Linked DNA regions of Rattus norvegicus. The protein of the gene in region 4 interacts with the protein of the main gene of each other region in a pairwise test. Links are inferred from orthologs where the notes say so. Each region holds a gene or a part of one and is shown on either strand. Other genes may lie near its edges.

What was found.
Region 1: the proteins of Rint1 (region 4) and Fam110a interact in binary tests that used the Homo sapiens proteins (3 or more experiments, as listed by UniProt). The two-hybrid records come from large-scale screens. The link is inferred for Rattus norvegicus from reciprocal best matches to the Homo sapiens genes RINT1 and FAM110A.
Region 2: the proteins of Rint1 (region 4) and Sfr1 interact in binary tests that used the Homo sapiens proteins (3 or more experiments, as listed by UniProt). The two-hybrid records come from large-scale screens. The link is inferred for Rattus norvegicus from reciprocal best matches to the Homo sapiens genes RINT1 and SFR1.
Region 3: the proteins of Rint1 (region 4) and Sgf29 interact in binary tests that used the Homo sapiens proteins (3 or more experiments, as listed by UniProt). The two-hybrid records come from large-scale screens. The link is inferred for Rattus norvegicus from reciprocal best matches to the Homo sapiens genes RINT1 and SGF29.
Region 5: the proteins of Rint1 (region 4) and Ccdc121rt1 interact in binary tests that used the Homo sapiens proteins (3 or more experiments, as listed by UniProt). The two-hybrid records come from large-scale screens. The link is inferred for Rattus norvegicus from reciprocal best matches to the Homo sapiens genes RINT1 and CCDC121.

What each region holds. Positions count from the first base shown.
Region 1 is NC_086021.1:160,942,606-160,946,758, forward strand, and holds the start of Fam110a (protein FAM110A), read right to left. Parts: upstream 2,801-4,153; 5' UTR 2,607-2,800; exon of another isoform or gene 357-2,606; intron 1-356.
Region 2 is NC_086019.1:256,559,336-256,563,332, reverse strand, and holds the start of Sfr1 (swi5-dependent recombination DNA repair protein 1 homolog), read right to left. Parts: upstream 2,801-3,997; 5' UTR 2,737-2,800; coding exon 2,724-2,736; intron 1,835-2,723; coding exon 1,665-1,834; intron 1,037-1,664; coding exon 644-1,036; intron 1-643. UniProt on the Homo sapiens protein: Component of the SWI5-SFR1 complex, a complex required for double-strand break repair via homologous recombination. Acts as a transcriptional modulator for ESR1.
Region 3 is NC_086019.1:190,667,744-190,671,827, reverse strand, and holds the start of Sgf29 (SAGA-associated factor 29), read right to left. Parts: upstream 2,801-4,084; 5' UTR 2,636-2,800; intron 1-2,635. UniProt on the Homo sapiens protein: Chromatin reader component of some histone acetyltransferase (HAT) SAGA-type complexes like the TFTC-HAT, ATAC or STAGA complexes.
Region 4 is NC_086022.1:12,224,118-12,227,617, reverse strand, and holds part of Rint1 (RAD50-interacting protein 1), read left to right. Parts: intron 1-292; coding exon 293-430; intron 431-2,565; coding exon 2,566-2,765; intron 2,766-3,500. UniProt on the Homo sapiens protein: Involved in regulation of membrane traffic between the Golgi and the endoplasmic reticulum (ER); the function is proposed to depend on its association in the NRZ complex which is believed to play a role in SNARE assembly at the ER.
Region 5 is NC_086031.1:95,784,968-95,788,622, forward strand, and holds Ccdc121rt1 (coiled-coil domain containing 121, retrotransposed), read right to left. Parts: upstream 2,169-3,655; 5' UTR 2,108-2,168; coding exon 1,136-2,107; 3' UTR 501-1,135; downstream 1-500.

The DNA of each region.
Region 1 (4,153 bases), on a different chromosome or scaffold from region 4:
AGAGTGGGAAATGACTGGTAAAGTTAGGGCGAGGGAGATGACTTGGGGTAAAAGTACTTGCCATGCAAGCCTAGTGATCCGAGTTCAGTCCCCTGGCCCCACAGTGGAATGGGAGAACTGACTCCTCTAAGTGTCTTCTCGAGTGCCTGCTGTAGCATATGTATCCATGAAATAAAAGCAGAAATCCCTCATTTCGCAGAGTGGAGGGAAATCAGAGCTCACACTGGTAAAGTTCTCAGCCCGGGACAAGGGTTCCAAGCCCAGGCAGTTGTGTGTCCCCTCTTCCCAGTAGATTTCTAGGGTTGATCATTTTATGATAGTTTATCCGCCCCACCTGCTTTTCTGTCCTGGCTCAGGTTTGGTAGCCAGGGAGGCCTCTGGCTGCTGCAGAAGAGGATCAAGAAGGTTCCGGACAGTGGGGAAGAGCCAACACAGCTGTCCAGGTCAGACACCCGACCGGGCATTCTCCAGGGCAGGCCAGGTTCCAAGCTATTTCTGGAGTTTTCACCAGGCTCATGCCCTGGCCTGCCCAGGAGTCAGCCTTGCTCAGAGTAGCTTTGCACAAATCTCAGGAAGAGAGTTACAAGTGGGCCGCCATGGGAGGGGCAGGGATGCCTAGGACAGTGAGCTCCTGCATGAATCCTTCCCCCAAACACTCTCCACTAACAAAGTCTGGGGCTCAGTTTGCACCCTGACAAGATGGGAACAAAGGCAGACTTGCAGTGAAGGAGAGAGGGAGAGAGGGAGAAAGACTAACAAACAAGGCCTTAGGGAAGGGCCTGACACTGAAGGGAAGGTGAGGCTTGAATTAGGCCTGTGGCCACACCCACTTCCTGTCCTACAGTGCCTTCTGCCTTGGCTTGAACTCACAGCTCAGAATGTGAAGAAACTTGCCCAAACTCACAAAGCCAATGACAAACCACAGGTAGGGCAGTGACCTCATAACTTTCTGCAAATGTAATCACTGTCTGTGGCTTCTCAATTAGTTGACCCACAGTCCACGATTAGGATTGACTGCGATGCCCATCGTGCTGTGTATATAATTCCCACCCAGACCCTTTGCTCAGTAATCCACGTTCCTCTTGGTGCCGCATGAGTATCTAAGGAGTTTCTGATTATTTCCCATCAGTCCCTACTGATGGCCACTCTGTGTCTGTCCACAGCACCTGTCATTTTGCATAGAGTGAGGTAGCTGGATGGGGGAGTGAGTGTGTGTGTGTGTGTGTGTGTGTGTGTGTGTGTGTGTGTGTGTGTGTGTGTATTAACAGTGCCTATGCTGGCTCTGCTGGCCAGAGTCCACCTGAGTGACACCACCCTATCCTGCTCCACCCCCCCCCCCAGTACAATACACACCAAATGGCCAACAGATGTTGGCTTTGATCATCTTGAGTCTGCAAGTTTGGGGCACCCTGATAATTTGTGCCCGTGTTAAGCATCTCACGTGCCTGACACATTCCACTGGGGAAGATAATAAACCGCCTAATAAGATACCTCGTGCATAATATGGAACAGACGCTACTGAGAAAAGCAGGACACTCAGGGAGGGACCAGGCTACAGGAAGCTTGACGATGTGGAAAGAAATGAGGCAGCGGTATAACTCATCTAGTAGACGCTCGCTTAGCAGAAACCAAGCCCTGGGTTCTATCCTGAAAAGGCATAAAACTGGTGTGCAGGTGGCACACGCTTGTCATCAGAGGACGCTGATTTAGGAAGATGGAGAGTTCAAGACCAGCCTGGTATAAATAGTAAGAATGAGGCCAGCTAGGGCCATACAAAAGTTAGGGTGGGGAGCATGACACAAACACAGATGGACAAACACAGATGGACAAACACAGCTCCTCCAGGGCCAGAATGAGGCTCAGAGAAAGGGTAGTTCCCCTCAGGAGAGATCCTTCATCGAATGGGCGATTCCCTGTATCAAGAACTGAAGACGATTGCATAGTTAAGTCTGTGACTTTGAGCAAGAGCCTCAACTTCTCAGAACCTCAGATTCCCCACCTACGAAAGAAGATCAACAGCAGGAGAGTAGATAAAAGTACAGCCTAAATTAGATGCTCCACTTGGGAGGGCCTGACCCTGCACCCAACTCTAAAGTCCAATTCCAGCAACTCTGGCTTAGAGGCACCTCCAATGCATACAAGCGCAGGCGGGCGGGCGCGCACAGACCCACATGACTTCCAGAGCCTTTGGATCTGTAGTCCTAGGGAATCCACCCTGCCCCGCCCCTTCCCCCCAAGGAGGGCCCTCAAAGCGGGAAGCCCTGGAACTCCAGACTCTTTAGGCAGAAAGCTTCCAATGGGGAGGGAAAGACTATATTCTGAAGGGGAACTCCAAGGGCCGGTAGGGCAGGGTTGCCTAGTCAGGAGATCCCCTGAGCCATGTCCTCCCAATAGGCCCCTGAAAGAGTAAGCCGGTGGGGTACTCTGATTTGCTAGGAGCGGGGGCTGCAAGATGGGACAGTGGAACAACCTGGATTCTCTGCTGGCCCCCCTGGGCTGGACACTAGACATGAGCTCTCCTCTGTCGACCCCCTATGCTGAAACACTTGCCCGGGTTGATGCGTGGACACTGCCTAAGGACCCCCGCCCCCTTACCCCATGCTCACCCGCAGCCCACGCCCGGAGGAATCCCGCTCCTCGCTGGCTGCAGAGGCTGACAGCTGATGGTCCCCGCGGACCTGAGGAGGTCACAGCGTGTGGAGACCGGTCGGCTCTTCCGAGCGAGAGGTCCCGGCCGTCCCACAATCCCGCCGGGAGACCGTCCCCAGGGCCCAGAGGAAAGGGAAGTGAGCCCGCCGTCCCCGTCGCTGCAATGGTTCGCCCCGGACTTCCTGATTGGCCGGTCGCTTCCGTTCGAACGGCGCGCCAGCCGGGTTGCCAGGCAACATCAGGAGCGGCAGATGCAACCCAGCGGCTGCTGCCCTGAGCCCAGCTGGTCGCTCGGCCTTCCGGCTGCCCAGGCCTTGGCAGATCTTTCTTCTCCTCTTCCAGCTGGATTTCCTCGGTCTCCAGCTGCAAGCAAGGGTTGCTAGTCCCAAATTTGTTTGGTTTTGCACAGACCCTAGTACCAACATTTTTGAGTTTTGAGGCAGGGCCTTGACACATAACTGGCCGCAGCCTCCGTGATACTAGGATTTTAGGTCTATACCACACCTGACCCTCTCTTCACTTTTTTTTCTTTTTGAGACAGGGTCTCACTAAGTTGCCCAGGCTGACCTTAAATTCATGCTTTTGTCTCAAATTTGCTATATCTGCCTGCCTCAGTACATCTACCCATGAGTTGGTATTAAATGCCCAGCCACCAAGCTGGACCCTACTCCCAACTCAGCAGCTACCTCTTTGTGTGTTTTCCCACAATCCTCTTTCCCTGTCTGTTCCCCTAACTGCAATGATAAATCAGTTTTTAAATGCACACATCAGTAGTTCCCACGGTGCTTATCAAAACCAGATCAGTTATAGTATAGAAGTCCGTCCTGGGAAGAAGCTGAATTGAGTTTTCTACATAATTCTTCTCAGTACTCATGACCTAGCTCCGAGGTACCTACCTTCAATTGTCTGAACTTTCCAGTTGGAAATATTATACAGTAACTTACAACGATGCGGTTAAATAACATTTAAGAACAATGGAAGAATGTTAAGGAAGTGTCATGTTTTAAACACAGTTCAAATCACTCCGTACAACACAAATAGATAATATATAACCATGCTCTTCATGTAATAAACCTATCCCATTTACAATAACACCAACTAATTTTTACATTTAAATTATACTTTTATTCATCTTTGAGAATTTCATACACACACACAATGTATTTTAATCATATTTACTTTACCCTCCTCCCCTTAACTCCTACATCCACCCTCACTTCCTCCTTTTTTGTTTTTTTATACGCCACCGAGTCTAATCTGCCCATCTATTCGTGGCAGTAGGGCCATCCACTGAACCATGATCAAACGGTCAAGGGCTGCAACCTTGTAAAAACACGGACTTTCTTTTCTCCAGAAACATTCAGCTGTTCCTAGCTCCTCAGTTCAGGGTAGGGGCTCATAAGCCTCTCCCGTCTCTGTGCTGCAATGTTAACTGGCTTGATCTTGTGCAGACAACCACAGCTGCTGTGGTTCACAAGCACAGTGGCCCTGCAGCACCGGTAAG
Region 2 (3,997 bases), on a different chromosome or scaffold from region 4:
AACATATTCAAGCTTAAAGCATTTTCAACATTTAGCATCAGTTACATTTAGAAAAGTCCTAAAAGTTCAAAACCACATATAAGATACGCTATTGTCATTTACTCCACATTTTGGGGATAGAACGAGGTGATCTGTGGGTAAGAGCAGCAGCGATGTCTCCTCCTTCCAAACATCCATGTTCTATTTTACTCAACATGTGTGAGCTGAAACCTAAAATCTGTGTTTTCTCAAATAAAATGCCTGACATTTTATCAGACACATGATCGTTACGGAAAGTGCAGCACCCAGCATTCTGTGGTGTGTTTTTAGTTCTAGCGACATCCCTTTCTGTTCCCACTGCACCTCCATCCAACACCTCACACTTCTAATCTTGCTCCTGGCTAGAAATTAGAGCCCACAAGCTTCATCTGTGCATTAAACAAGAGCTGAAGCTTTGAAGCTTTTAAGTTCTACCTCGTGTTGAAGGGGCTTATCTGCCTCATTCTGAACCAGTTATTTCTAATTCAGTCAAAGCTCTTGGTGTAACTAACTCAGGTTTCTGGGTTTTTCGGCTTCTTGTTTATCAGACTAAAATTTATTTCCAATTTCTGAATTTACAGCAATTTATGTAAAAATGGTTCAATGGTTCTGAAATTCTTCTCACCTTTATTCTGTACATTTTGACTAACTTTAACCTCCGAAGAAGGTCTTCCTTCTCTTGAACCTGCCTAGTCAGTTTTGCTTTTTCTTCCTTCAAAGTTTGCTTTATAGTCTTCTCAGTAGAATCTTTTTGGAGGACACTGGATGACCCAGTATCAAGTGACTTAGATTCACTCGTATTTTTATCCTCTGAGCTCTCTTTTTCAGGTTCATTGTCTTTGTTTTCCAGGCTTTCTTGGGCTTTTGAACAGTTTTCTTCTTTTGAAGATTCTCCTGGTTCTGAAAGGGTCTGATCATTTTCTTCATTCTCTACCTTAATACGCTTCACCACACTACAAAAAGGTTGAGATGAAGCTCTTGCTTTCTTTAATCTTTCTTTAAGTGTCCCACTCATAGGCTGAAAAAGACACAAAACATCAAATGTTAAGAATATATTCTTGGGGCTGGGGATTTAGCTCAGTGGTAGAGCGCTTACCTAGGAAACACAAGGCCCTGGGTTCGGTCCCCAGCTCCGAAAAAAAGAACCAAAAAAAAAAAAAAAAAAAAAAAAAAAAAGAATATATTCTTGAAGTACATCAATGTATTCGAAACAAAGTCTGTACGCTTCTATGGTAGGTACAATGGGTTGCTTTTGGTCTCCAAAAACCTCAAGTGGGCATCACCAATGTATCTAAGTTCCAGAGGCTACCTTTAGTCTTGCTTTAGCAAGGTTACCGTCATTGGCAGCTAGTATTTGCCTGACAATACTAGAAACAGAAATGTCTCAGAACTATAAACTAAGGAGAAGACCTGCTACCAAAGACTTCCCCCTGAAATACGGTACAGATATGTTTCCTTGGTTTGGAGCATCTCAGTAACCTGGTAAGAAATTAAACGAAATGAACTGATTCAAGAAGAAAATCTGGCAGTTAGCAAGGTATGGGCTATATATTAACTCACACTCCAGTATCCTTAGAACTGCCACTATTGGAATACTTTGAAACACAGGACAGATGGGGGTAAAGGACAACACAAAATTTTCATACTTGTTTTCCTGAACTATTCGAATGGAGTGATGGTGGATTTTCACTGGTCTGAGGCTTGTCAGGTGAGGTTGGGGGTGATGGTGGATTCTCACTGGTCTGAGGAATGTCAGGTGAAGTGGATGCTGAATCTGAGGGGTTTTCCATCTTGGAAGTGATCTCCTGATTTCCTTCTAGAAAGGGAAAGACACGAGAATGATAAATTAATTATCTCAAAACAGACCTCAATTTTTTCAACAAAATTTTCTTCAGTGAACTAAACACCAAAAAAGTCAGCAATTTCTTCCAATTATTTGTACCTGTAATTTATTCTAATTCTTTTCATATTCTTTCCATTTACTTCTCCACATGGGGAGTAACCAAATTTTGTTTCTTTCACGACAAATAAACCGGCTAGTATCTTATTGACACTCATTTTTCTCCTTCAAAACATCTCCAAAAATTTGGATTTCGGGGAAGGGAACTAACTCTACGTAGTCAAGAATTTTAATCTTTGTTATAATTTCGTAAATAAAAGCGATACAGTCCGAATCTTGAATCCTAAAAGCTTTGTGCCTAGAAGAATGAGTCCCAAGGAGCCAGAAAGCAGCGTCGGCCCCTTTTGGTTTTCTAGGGTCAGGGCCTCTGCCTTCCTCCCCCGCCCTATCTTTTCCACCAAGCCCCGCCTTCTCCGCCCCGCCCCCTCCGCCCCGCCCCTCACCCCCCACCACAGAAAGCCCTCCCCCCTCATTCTCCCTTCTCTACTCCCTCCCCCGCACCCTCCCCTCACCCTCCCACCACAGAAAGCCATCCCCCCTCATTCTCCCTTCTCTACTCCCTCCCCCGCCCCCTCACCACAGAAAGCGCTCTCCCGCTGCTCCCTCCCGCGCTCTTTTTTCTAAGCCCAGTCCCCCTCCTTCTCCTCTCCCTCCCCCTCTCCTCCACCTCCCTCACCATAGAAAGCCCTCTACCCTACAGAGCAGGAAGTCGAGCCCCCGCGACGCCGGGAAGAGCTTCTCTATCAGATATGCAGACACCCGCAGGCCTGACGCGCAGACCAGCCCCAGGGAGAAAGCTCAATACCTTCCTCAGCCATGCTCACAGCAGACACAGCGTACACAACCAGCGTAGCGCCCGGAGTACACTGACCTCGCCCCGGGGGCGGAGCCCCACCGGAGGAGAGACGTGCGATTGGCTAGCTTGACCGTAGCGGGCGGATGTGCTTTGTCCAATTCCGACTACGCGTGCGCGTAGGCCCACGAGCCTCAGCCACGGGGCGGGGCGGGACCAGGGGGGAGGCGGGCGCGGCTCGTGATTGGCAGGACTGGCCGGCGCGCTCCAGGGCTCGGCCACGCGCGCAAGGCCGCCAGGCTAAGGGTGGCTTCCAAGGCAAAAAATAGTGTCAGGCCTTTGGACGGGCCTGAGGGGGGCGCGCTTCCGCTCGCCACTTCCTACGAGGGTTGCTGTGCCAGCCGCCTTCCCAAGCAGCTTCCCTTGGGGGAAGGGAGAGGGGTGCATCCTCTGGGTAATGGGCCTGAGAGCACCGCCCCCGCGCGCCCGCCCCCTGGCAGTCTCCGCTTTCACAACAGCAGAGGCTTTTCCTCAGACGTGGCAGGACCGGAAGCCGCGGGGCCCGTTTGGCTCCCTGCTGGCGAACGCTTCCTTAGCCTTTTGTGGTCTGTTTGGAAGCCAGCTTGATAGGAATCTATCCCGGCGTCTCTGCACGTGCAGTAGAGAGCATCTCCAGCTTGCTTTGCAGTCTCGCCCCTTTATTTTGGTCTATGCCCACTGGCTTCACTTGTTTTGGTCCAATCTGAGAAAATGTAACCTAAGGAAGTGTATTATGGCGCAGGACAGGAAGCGGGACTGTCGATCCGATCGGGTCGGTCTAGCATCCAGAAGTTTGAGAACTAGATCCCGGGGTGCCCCTAGGAGGCCCCTTGCTAGACGCTGGGGAGCCCCTGGGAGGCCCCTTGCTAGACCCTGGCTCGACTCCTGGGAGGCCCCTAAGAGGCCCCTTGCTAGACCCTGGCTCGACTCCTGGGAGGCCCCTAGGAGGCCCCTTGCTAGACGCTGGGGAGCCCCTGGGAGGCCTCTGGCTAGACCCTGAGAGGCTGCAACGCCTTCTGGTGTTAGGGATGTTCTGTTGCTATGCAACAGCAAAGTGAACTAGCTTGGGTGGAGCACTGGGTGTAGAGAAGTCAGCTGAGTAACCTGTGAGTCACTGGGAAGTTTGTGAGAGAGGACAAATCTCTTTCCGAATATCTGCTAATGGTGGCTTTAAAGTAATCCGAAAGAAGTGGTCGGAATCCTACGCAGTCAGTTATAAATACAGAACCTAACGAAACTTTTGGAGG
Region 3 (4,084 bases), on a different chromosome or scaffold from region 4:
TACAGCCTAGTTTACAGAACAAGTTCCAGGACAGGCAGGGCTATACATAGAGAGAAACCTGTCTCAAAAAATAAAAATTTAAAAATTAAAAAAAAAATTCAACAAGTTGAGCTTATCAACATTGCAACCCAAGAACATGATATTTACATATGAAGCTGGGGGAGGACAACACAGCTCCCAAACAGCCACAGGCTCCTCCATTTGCCCTCGTCTATGGCCAATCACAACTTCAGGAAAGTGCCTAAGCACTGCATTTAAACTTTATTCTTGTTTTGTTATGTTTTTATTGTTGTTTTGAGACACAGTCTTAGTATGCAACTCAAACTGCCCTGGAATTTACACCTGGAACTCCCAGAGATTCATCTGCCTCTGCTTCCCCCGTGCTGGGATTAAAAGGTGCGTGCCACCATACCAAGCTTCTTTTATTGCTTTAGGGGCAGGGTCTCACTGTGCAGTTCAGGCTGACACTGAACTCACATTTCTCCAGCCTCAGTCTTCACAGTAAACTTCTGTTCTTGCACCTGTCACTCATGTAAATGATGAACTGCTTCACTGACAGCTCTCCTACCAGATGACAAGCATGGAGCATACAGGCTGCTACTCTAGATATCTTTCTGTTCTGCCGGGCCTTGGCACATACTGCTGTCAAATCAGGTTGCTGAATGGAGCTGAGTCCTGAACACCCTTCAAGCAGTCTTTCAACTTAGAACACTGAAACGGGTTTGAAGCTGAGCTACTCAAGGTCTCCTCTGTCTCCATGTTAAGTACTAACATCTTCCGTGAGAGACTACCTACTTCCCCCATGCAGAAAAGAGAAATTATGCCCTTTCATAATTCCATTCAGCAGCATTTACTAATTACCTAAGACATAAGGGATATGCAGTAGTGAAAGGACAATGCAGAATGGACACATATTAAACAAATAGAGCCACATGCCAAAGAATACATCAGAAAAAAAAAAAAGATTGAACATGATGTAGTCCCATGAGATTATAATGCTCAAAAAGATGTATGAGATTATAAACCCAAAACACTTTCATCACCCCATTATTTCTTATTAAACATTTATTTATTGAGTATGGGTGTACATATGCCACAGTGTTTACTGGTTTTCTTCTTACCACATGGGTCATGCTTAGGTTGTCATGCTTAGTGACAACTTCCTTTACCCTCTGAGCCTCTTCACTGGCCCTCACCTAGTATTTTACTGAACTGTTTCTGTATAGATACTCAAATACTTTTCATTTTGTGGAAACCACCTTTATAGTATTTGCTGTAGTAACATGCTACATATGGAGTGGCAGGCTATGCCATGTGGACTTGGTGTGTAGTAGGCTGATAATCTAAGCTGTGTAAGAGCACCGTGTCCTGTCTTAGGATAAACACCTCCCAGTGCATTGCTCCCAGTGCACCCCCTTCAGCATGCAATGCACACATCCCATGTATTTACTCTCGGGATGAAAAAGCACTGAAGCACATGACGGCTAGTTTTAACTTGACATCTAAATCACCCGGGGAAGCTGGCAGTGGTTGCACACTAATACCAGTACTTGGGAGGCGGAGGCAGCTGGATCTCTGACTTCAAGGCCAGCTTGGTCTACAGAGTGAGTTCCAGGACAACCAGGGCTAGACAGAGAAACTTTGTCTCTAAAAAAAAAAAAAAAAAAAAAAACAAGGGCTGGAGAGATGGCTCAGTGGTTAAGAGCACTGACTGCTCTTCCAGAGGTCCTGAGTTCAATTCCCAGCAACCACAGAGTGGCTCACAACCATCTGCAATGGGATCTGATGCCCTCTTCTGGTGTGTCTGAAGACAGCACCAGTGAACCTATATAAAATTATTAAAAATATGTAAAAAAAAAAAAAAAAAAAAAAAAGAAAGTTGAGTGCACCAAAATAAATTTTATTTATTTAAAGTGTGAAATAGACAATGCCCAGGGAGTGAACAGAAAAAAGGCAAGATTAGGGTTTATGTATTCTGAAGGTACGAGCATTAAAGATGAAGAAATGGAAGCAAGAGTTCTTTAGGTTAAGAGAGGACCGAGGCAATGAAAGAGGATGCTACCAAGCCATTATCACTGAACTTGGGAATCCAGAACTCAAGGCGGCTTTGACAGAGCTGTTTCTGTGAGACAGCATGAGACAAGGCCTCCCTAGAGAGGCAGGTGAATGTGCTAATGAGTAGACGCAGACGTCCTAGGATACATGTGTCAGCCGACAGATGAGTGAGCTACAGAGTGGATGAAGTTACTGTTGTGAAAATGGACACCTTTAGGGCTGTGGAGTCTGTAATCTCAGCACTTGGGATTGAGGGAGGACTGCGATCTCACGGCCAGGCTGGGCTACAGTGTCCCTCTCAATAAGAAAGTAGTAAACTGTGCTGATGTCTGGGACCAAGGACCTCACCAGGTGCCGGCCTCTAGACTAGTCAGCTCCAGCGGCTTCCCACCTCTCCAGAGATGTAGGGCGCACGCGCAAACCCCAGGGCGCCGGCTCCCACAGCCCGCCCCCTTCCCCGTCCAGGGCGCGTGCGCGTTTCCGCAGAAGCCGCCTCAGAGAGCCGGGCGCCGGGCAGGAACGCTGGCCTTTCGTTCCCGCGCTGCGTGGAGGTACCTTGCCATGGCCCCGTCCCACCTACCGAGCCCAGGGAAAAACAGCACGTCGCGCTGGTAACTGCGATGGCGGGAAGAGCGAATCACTGGAACGTTTCCTCACACGATAGTCCCGCACTTACGTTCGAAGGTTCGCGGCACGTCAAGAACCACACACGCTGTTTCTCTTATGAGCGCGGTCGAGCGCGGAGGACTCCTCTGCGCATGCCGGGTACTTCTCTGTGACGTGCTGCATTGCACCCTGGGAAACGTAGTTCTTCGATACTTGTGCCTTGATGTACTCAATTTATTAGGTCAGAGTTCTTGTTTGTTTTTTATGTCCCTCGAAAACTTTCATATAAATCAAAGGACCAGAAAAGCATGTGTGAAGCCTCGCCTAACATGTGGGAAGTGATGGGATCGGATCCTTAGCACCAGAAGAAAACAACAAAACCACTTCAGATTATTGGGGATAGGGAAGGAGGGCCCCCAGGAAGCATATGAGAATTCTGTACTTTAAGCTAAAGTTTGCTGTGAATTTAAAATTTATCTAAAAATACTTTTAAATTCCAAATAAGCAGTCTTAGGTTTAGAACTCATAATTTACAGAATCTTCCCAGCAAATAAAAAATATGGACATGCAAACATTTAGCTATAAAGGTATTCTTTGGATGCCTACTTTGTGGATTGGGCAGTTAATGCAGTGGTAGGACACTTGCTTAGCATGGTTCTGGTCTCAATCCCTAGGGACTACTTCCACTCCAACTATCTATCCTAATGTATCATACATAACACCTAAAAAGTCAATATGGTTTGGTGGTTAAGAATACTTGCTGCGGGCTGGAGAGATGGCTCAGTGGTTAAGAACATTGACTGCTCTTCCAGAGGTCCTGAGTTCAATTCCCAGCAACCACATGGTGTGTCACAACCATCTGTAATGGGATCTGATGCCCTCTTCTGGTGTCTTTGAAGAGAGTGACAGTGTACTCATACCTTAAAATAAATAAATGAAAGATCACCAGAATTAGAATGCCAGTACTCACATCAGCTGGCTCAGACTGCCTCTAACTCTAGCTCCAAGGCATCTGATGCCCTCTTCTGGCCTCAGAGGGGACTGCATGGATACATATACACCTATACATAGAACAAAAATTAGTTTTGAAAGTCTTTTAAAGCCTATAATCACATATTGTTATTCTCTGATAGAATTACAAATGCTATAAGGTCAAGATCTTTAGACATTCCCAGTATATAGCACTGTGTCTGGCACACAACAAGCTATCAGATATTTTTCTATTAGCAAACCTTAAATTTTTTTTTTTTTGGTTCTTTTTTTCGGAGCTGGGGACCGAACCCAGAGCCTTGCGCTTCCTAGGTAAGCGCTCTACCGCTGAGCTAAATCCCCAGCCCCTTAAATTTTAACACAAACTATTTTAGCACCCAGACTAACAAGGAAAATTTTAAATATATATATATATGGCTTGGGAAATGCTGAG
Region 4 (3,500 bases):
TCCCACCACTGCCTGGGAATGTCTGGTTTTGGTGTGTGAGGTTTTGGAGTTTTGTCTTTCTTACAGGATGTACTGAATTACTTTCAAAGACAGTCCTCTCTCCACAAGACTTGTTTGTTTGTTTGTTTGGTGGGGTTTTTTGGTTTGTTTTGGTTTTGAATTACAGTCTACATGTTGGAATATGGAGCCAGTAGAAGATATTGATGGTTTGTAGAGTTCCTAAAAAAGTGTGAGTTGATAATTGAAGGAAGAAATAAGTCCTCGACTGACTTTTCTTTCTTTCTTCGTTTAGTTGCTCTTCAAAAAATGGACTCAATGCTTTCATCAGAAGCTGCCTGGGTATCCCAGTATAAAGACATCACCGATGTGGATGAAATGAAGGTCCCAGACTGTGCGGAAGTCTTTATGACCCTGCTTCTGGTTATAACTGGTAAGCACTGGCCTTTTAACATCCGACGCTAATTTAGAATTAAGTTTTTAAGCTGGGCAAGGGTGAACACACTTGCAACCTAGCATGTGAGGTGGAAGCAGGAGGATTGAGCTCAAGGCCAGTCTCAGTTCTAAAGTGACTTTGGTCAGCCTGGGATATATGAGACCCTGTCTCAGAAAACCCAAGCAAACGAATGAACAGCAGAAGTCTGCAGTGAGTTTGAGGCTGGTGGGGTCGCTCAGCAGATTCGAGCACTTGCTGTTCTTACAGAAGGCCGGGCCAGCTCCCCAGTCATAACCCACCCACTCCAGCTCTGGATCCAGGGGCCGCTTGGTCCCCTCAGGCACCTAGGACGCGTGAACATGAAAATAAACCTTAAACAGTAGTGCGCGCTACATGTACTCATATTTTTAGTAGTTAATAGACAGCCGTACAGTAACTTAAAACTCTACGACAGTCTCTCTTTCGACTGAGCCAGCTGTGGCAGCACTCACCTTTAATCCCAGCGCTCTGGAAGCACGGCTGGAGCATTTGTGGCTTTGAGATCATCCTGGTATATGGGTTCCCAGCCACCCTGATGTAAGATCTTGTTTCAAATACTAAAATAACAATAAGTATTAATAAATAGTACTAGTCATAATAATCAGGTCACCTAGACATACTGTGAGACCCTGTCTCCAAACAACAGCACCTTAAAATGTGAGCGTTGGTGTATACATGAAGGGGAACGTCCAGGACAAAAACAAATAAAAATGCGTTAATTTTTAACTCATTGTCATTCTTTTTTTTTTTCTTTTCTTTTTTTCGGAGCTGGGGACCGAACCCAGGACCTTGCGTGTCATTCTTGTTATAGGTTTTCAAGTTTCATTTTACTACTCTAATTTTACAGACTTATTTTTAGTTTATGTGTATGAGTGTGTGTCTGTGAATGTGTGTACACCACATGCATGCCTATTGCCAATGGAGGCCAGAAGAAGGTGTTGGAGCCCCTGAAACTGGAGTTACAGAGGGTCGTGAGCTGAGCCCCCTCCTCCCCAGCTCCTTTTACTTTAAGACTCTCAGCTTTATGTGTATTTTGCCTGCATTTTATCTGTACCACATACATTCCTAGTGCCTGTGTAGTTCAGAAGAGTGTTTGATCCCCTAGAGATGGGAATTACAGTACTGTAAGCTATCAATGTGGGTGCTGGGAACTGAACCAGCGATCTCTCCAATGGCAGGCAGTGCTCTTAACCTCTGAGCCATCTCTCAAGCGCCCACTTACTCTTCTTTGAGAGACGGTGTACTGTGTTGCCCAGCTGGCTTGAGCTCCTGTTCTGAGATGATCTTCCTGCCTTGGTTTTCCACATAGCTGGGACTAGGTACACACTACTATGTCTAGTGTTAACCCAAACCTTAAATAAATATCACTTTCTTAGCACTGGTTTATCAGGACTTGAAGAAGAGAGTGGAATGGTACAGTAGTTTTAGAATTGAGGTGACAGGGTCTCTTCTCGAGCCATGTGTGGAGTGTCCGCATTCCCTGCTGCAGACTGCTAGCTGTCCAGGGCCACAAGATCCCCAATGCTGCCACGCTGGGCCCTCATTGCTTCCCTCCTCCCCTGGCAATGCACTTCTTGAGCTTCATGATAACCTGAAGACCTTCACTCCTACCCAATCAGTAATTGCACATTTTGACTGTTAGAAAAATAAACACTTTTTTTAAAAAAGGATAGCCAGACATGGCAGTGCACATATTTAATCCCAAATATCAGGATTTTGGAGGTAAAGGCTGGAGGATCAGGAGTTCAGAGCTATTCATAGCCTCAGGAAATTTGAAGCCAGCCTGGGCTACATGAGACCTGTCTTAAGCCCTCCTCACCTACCAACACAGCTTCTTATTTAAGGCACAGTTATTTTAAAACACAGTTTGCTTTTTCAGAAACGAGGTATGATTTCTGTATGGCAATGTACACATCTGGATCTCGAGCATACTGTTGGCTGAGTCCTGACACGATGTTCCTGTGTGATTTCTTAAGATTTTGCAAACGGTCAGCTGGGTTTTGTCATAAAGGCCATAAGCAGAGATTTAGGGAAAACCAACTGTGATGAACAGTATCTAATCCCCTCCTGTATTTTGTCTACTTTCTCCACAGACAGGTATAAAAATCTCCCCACAGCCTCCCGGAAGCTGCAGTTCCTGGAGTTACAGAAGGACCTAGTGGATGATTTTAGGATCCGGTTGACACAGGTGATGAAGGAGGAGACTAGAGCGCCCCTGGGCTTTCGGTACTGTGCGATTCTCAACGCCGTGAACTATATCTCAACAGTGCTGGCTGACTGGGCTGACAACGTGGTGAGTTGTGTGCTTTTGTAGGAAATGATGTATCAGTGCCTTGGTCTCCATAATATATCAGTGCCTTGATCTCCATAATACATCAGTGCCTTGGTCTCCATAATACGTCAGTGCCTTGATCTCCATAATATATCAATGCCTTGATCTCCATAATATATCAGTGCCTTGATCTCCATAATACATCAGTGCCTTGATCTCCATAATATAGCAGTGCCTTGGTCTCCATAATACGTCAGTGCCTTGGTCTTCATAATATGTCAGTGCCTTGGTCTCCATAATATAGCAGTGCCTTGGTCTCCATAATATAGCAGTGCCTTGGTCTCCCTAATACATCAGTGCCTTGGTCTCCATAATATAGCAGTGCCTTGGTCTCCCTAATACGTCAGTGCCTTGGTCTCCATAATATAGCAGTGCCTTGGTCTCCATAATACGTCAGTGCCTTGGTCTTCATAATATGTCAGTGCCTTGGTCTCCATAATACATCAGTGCCTTGGTCTCCCTAATACATCAGTGCCTTGGTCTCCATAATATAGCAGTGCCTTGGTCTCCATAATACGTCAGTGCCTTGATCTCCATAATATATCAGTGCCTTGGTCTCCATAATATATCAGTGCCTTGATCTCCATAATACATCAGTGCCTTGGTCTCCCTAATACATCAGTGCCTTGGTCTCCCTAATACATCAGTGCCTTGGTCTTCATAATATATCAGTGCCTTGATCTCCATAATATGTCA
Region 5 (3,655 bases), on a different chromosome or scaffold from region 4:
GGCAAAGTAGGGGGCCTGGATTGGCACCGTGGCAACTCCCCTTACCCAGGCTTCCCTCCCTACCTTTCAGTTATCTGTGTTCAGTTTCAGTCCAAAATCAAATGGAAAATTCTGGAAAGAAACGATTCGCATATTTCATGTGTCTGAGTAGTGTGGTGAGACCTTGTACCATCACATAAGGGTCACAAATCATCCTTGCCCAGAGCGTCCATGTTTTATACACTACCCACCCGTTAGCCACTGACGTAGTGGCCTCACCCCGAGTCATGGTGCTTATGTTATTGGCCTGCTGTACCTCATCACATGCTTGTTCTATCACTTCAAAAGGGTGGCAGTAGTATAATAAAACATTGAGGGATATAGTATTTTTGTTGTACTTATAAATCTGGAGGGGTATTAAGAACTAATTACAGGTAAATTTTGTTTTAACAACACTGTTTAACTGTAAAGTATATGTATTCACCAGCAATGCTAAAAGATGATGATGGTGATAAGGCACATTGAAAAGCTAAGTCACCTTTTAATCCTATTTAAAAAGAACCTATTTTACATATAAAAAAAGCAGAAAATTCTGAAGAGTGCCCTCGAAGTTTTCATTACCAATAATTTCTGAGAAACGTGAAGCTGGCTATGTCTTTTCCCTATGCAGGGGCATCACCCAAATACAAGACCATTCTTCCAGACCAGAACCCACAGTTCAACAAAACAGTCCACCATAAATGCAAACGTGCGACCCTTCTAAACAAACAAAAACCCTACAATTTAAGATTCCTATTTGCTTCATATGGCCCAAAATACATAGAATGTACAGGTTATACACCGTACTTTGTGGACTGCAGAGTACACACTAAGAAAAAAATAAGCGTGGTAAAAATATATGCCCTAAGTGGGTAATCTGAGGATTTCAAATGCTACTATAAAAGTGGGTGGTGTAACCCATTACAAAATTTCCAACTGTTCTAAATCTCTGAGTGTACGCAGCCCCAGGGACACGGACAGCCACGACCTGGGTCCCAGGCTAGGAGCACAGCCCATGCTGCGTCAACCGCCCTTCGTGCAAGCGTTTCTAGTCTCCACGAAGGATACTTTCTGGATTGTAGTTATTCCCTGTGCTCCAGTTCAGTTGTAGTAGCTCTTACTTTAAACTTGTTTTTGATTTGGTGCTCAGCATGGTCTTTGAAGTTCTCTGTTCCTTGAGGCACGGGTTGTGACGACGGTGATGGCGTTCGCGTTCTGCCTGCAGCCGCTGCCGCCCTCTGGTCAAGGCTTCTAGGTACCACCGCTGCTCTTTCATCAGCCTCCGGTGCTTTTCCAGCTGATTCCTCACAGCTTCCACCCTGCGGTACTCCTGGCTCAGTTGCTGAAGCTCCTTGCGTAGCTGCTGGTTCTCCCTGTGGAGGCTGCCACAGAACTCAGAATGAGCCTGCTTGGCTGCTAGAGCCAAGGCCTTGTACTTCCTCGTAAGCCCCGTGGTGTTGATCTGCCCCAGCTCCATCAGGTGCAGGTCTTCCAGCTCCTTCTCCATCAATGCCTTTTCCTGCAGGAACCGGAAGTGTGCCTTCTGGTCCTTGGCCGCAGTCTCACCTCGGACTTTCTCTTGCTCCTGCTCCAAGCTCTGTATTTTCATGTCCTGGCCCTCCTTTACTTTGTAAATTGGCTTCAGGGCCTGCAACTGCTGCTTCAAATCCTTCTGGGTCTTTCTGCCCTGCAGGAGCTGGGCTTGAAGAGCTGCATTTCTCTGGTTGTATCTGGACGCCAATTCTTGCCTCTCTCGTTCTATCTCGCCACATTCTTGGATGTACTGCTTCCACAGCTCCTCCTGTTTCTTTTCACACTGTTCCTTATTTTTACGCAAGTATTCCGTGAAAAGCTGGTTTTCGGCCTGCACGCGGTATTTTTCTTCTAGTAGCTGCCTGCTGTCCGTCAGCAGCCTTTCCCGCCGGCATTTAGTTTCTTGGATTTGCTGGCTCAGCTCCTTCAGCTCCACCACTGTCTTCCTCTTTACCCGTTTCTCCAACCTCGTTAGCAATTTTGGCTTGAGATACGTATTTAGAATAGTAAGGTATGGTGTTGGTGGGGGTGCACCTTTAGGGCTCTGGGCAAGCATGTTCCCAGAATCCCCAGGTCAAGGAAAGTGACTGCCAGGGAGCAAGGCGGTTTGTTACTTCAGGGTACAGCGTCCTGAGCCAATGTTCCCAAGGTTTCTCCCTCTGGTGGTCAAGGCGACCAAGCTACACCCAGCCTGCCAGGAAGTCGCAGAGCTCACTTAGAGTAGCCTCAGAGGCTGTCCAGGGCTGGCCTTGATCTCCGAGTTTTCACTAGGAGCCCAGAGCTCCTGTTCCAAGCTGGCGAGCCCTGTCCTGGGGAGCCCTCTGGTCTTGCTCTCCTGGGACCTGTGCTTTGCCTCCTCATACCCTGTCCACAGGTCAGCGTGCCCTTCTGTTCTCTGCACACTAGCAGACGTATAGCCAGACTCATCTCTGCAGTGCTGGGGGTATGGGTCTGCAGGATAAATGGCGAGACCTAGGGCTGGGGAGGGTTGTTTGCAGATCCTTGAGTTCCCTGTGTGTTGTTGAGAAAGGCAGCATTGTGGGACTTTGTACATGAGCCGTAGGGAGCACAGAAGAGACTGTGACAGGCAGAAGGCCAGGAAGAAAGGGAGGAGGTTTCTGAAGACTGGAGTGCCCTTAACTCTAATTCCTTCACGGCACCTTGGTCTAGTAGGCTCCCCCAAGTGCATCCTTGGGGCACTTTGGGTACTACTGACCGTGGAGTGGCACCCCTGATAGTGAGTTGAAGGCAAAATTGCTGGGTTCTTGAAATCTGGAGCCTATAAGTAACTGGAAATGCCTGCATCTTATGTCTAGGATAAAGAGTTGTGTGACTTTGGGCAACTTGTTTAACTGAGGTGCGTATCTCCCTTGACACTTGGGATTTTGACCTGTCAGCTTCACAATGCTACCATACATTACTTCATCTGATCTTTCCAAAAATGTTAGGTGGAGAGTACATGCATTATTTCCCCCACTTTAGCTATGAAAGAAACCCCACAAAACACAGATACTAATCCCCAAAGACCACATCCTAGGGTAAAGAAAGAATAAGAATCAAAGCTTCTTGGGTTAGGGTAGGTAAGTTTCAATCTACTCTATTTCTCTCAAAATAGTTACTGAGGAAGTCCTGCCCCATTTTTATTACTTGAAAGGCTTTTAATTTTTTTTACAAGACTTTAAGTTAGACATTATTGTCATGATATGTAAAGCAACTTGTCCAAGGTCCTACAGACTTACTAGAAAGTTTACCTGTCTTCTCATGCAACAAATGGGCAGACACCCATTTTGTGGGTCAGCTGGGGTATACTGCTGAGTACACCTAGAACTTCTGAGATTGTTTTCACCCTTCCTTATCTCATGCCTAACTCTTCATTGTGTTGTGGCTGTGTGTGTGTGTGTGTGTGTGTGTGTGTGTGGTGTGTAGTGTGTGTGTGCAGTATGAGTGTGTGTGCAGTATAAGTGTGCAGTATGTGTGCTGTATGTGTAGTATGTATGTATGCAGTATGTGTGCAATGTGTGTGCAGTATGTGTGTTCAGTGTGTATACAGTATGTATGCAGTGTATGTATGTGCAATATGTATGTGTATAGTGTATGTGCAGTG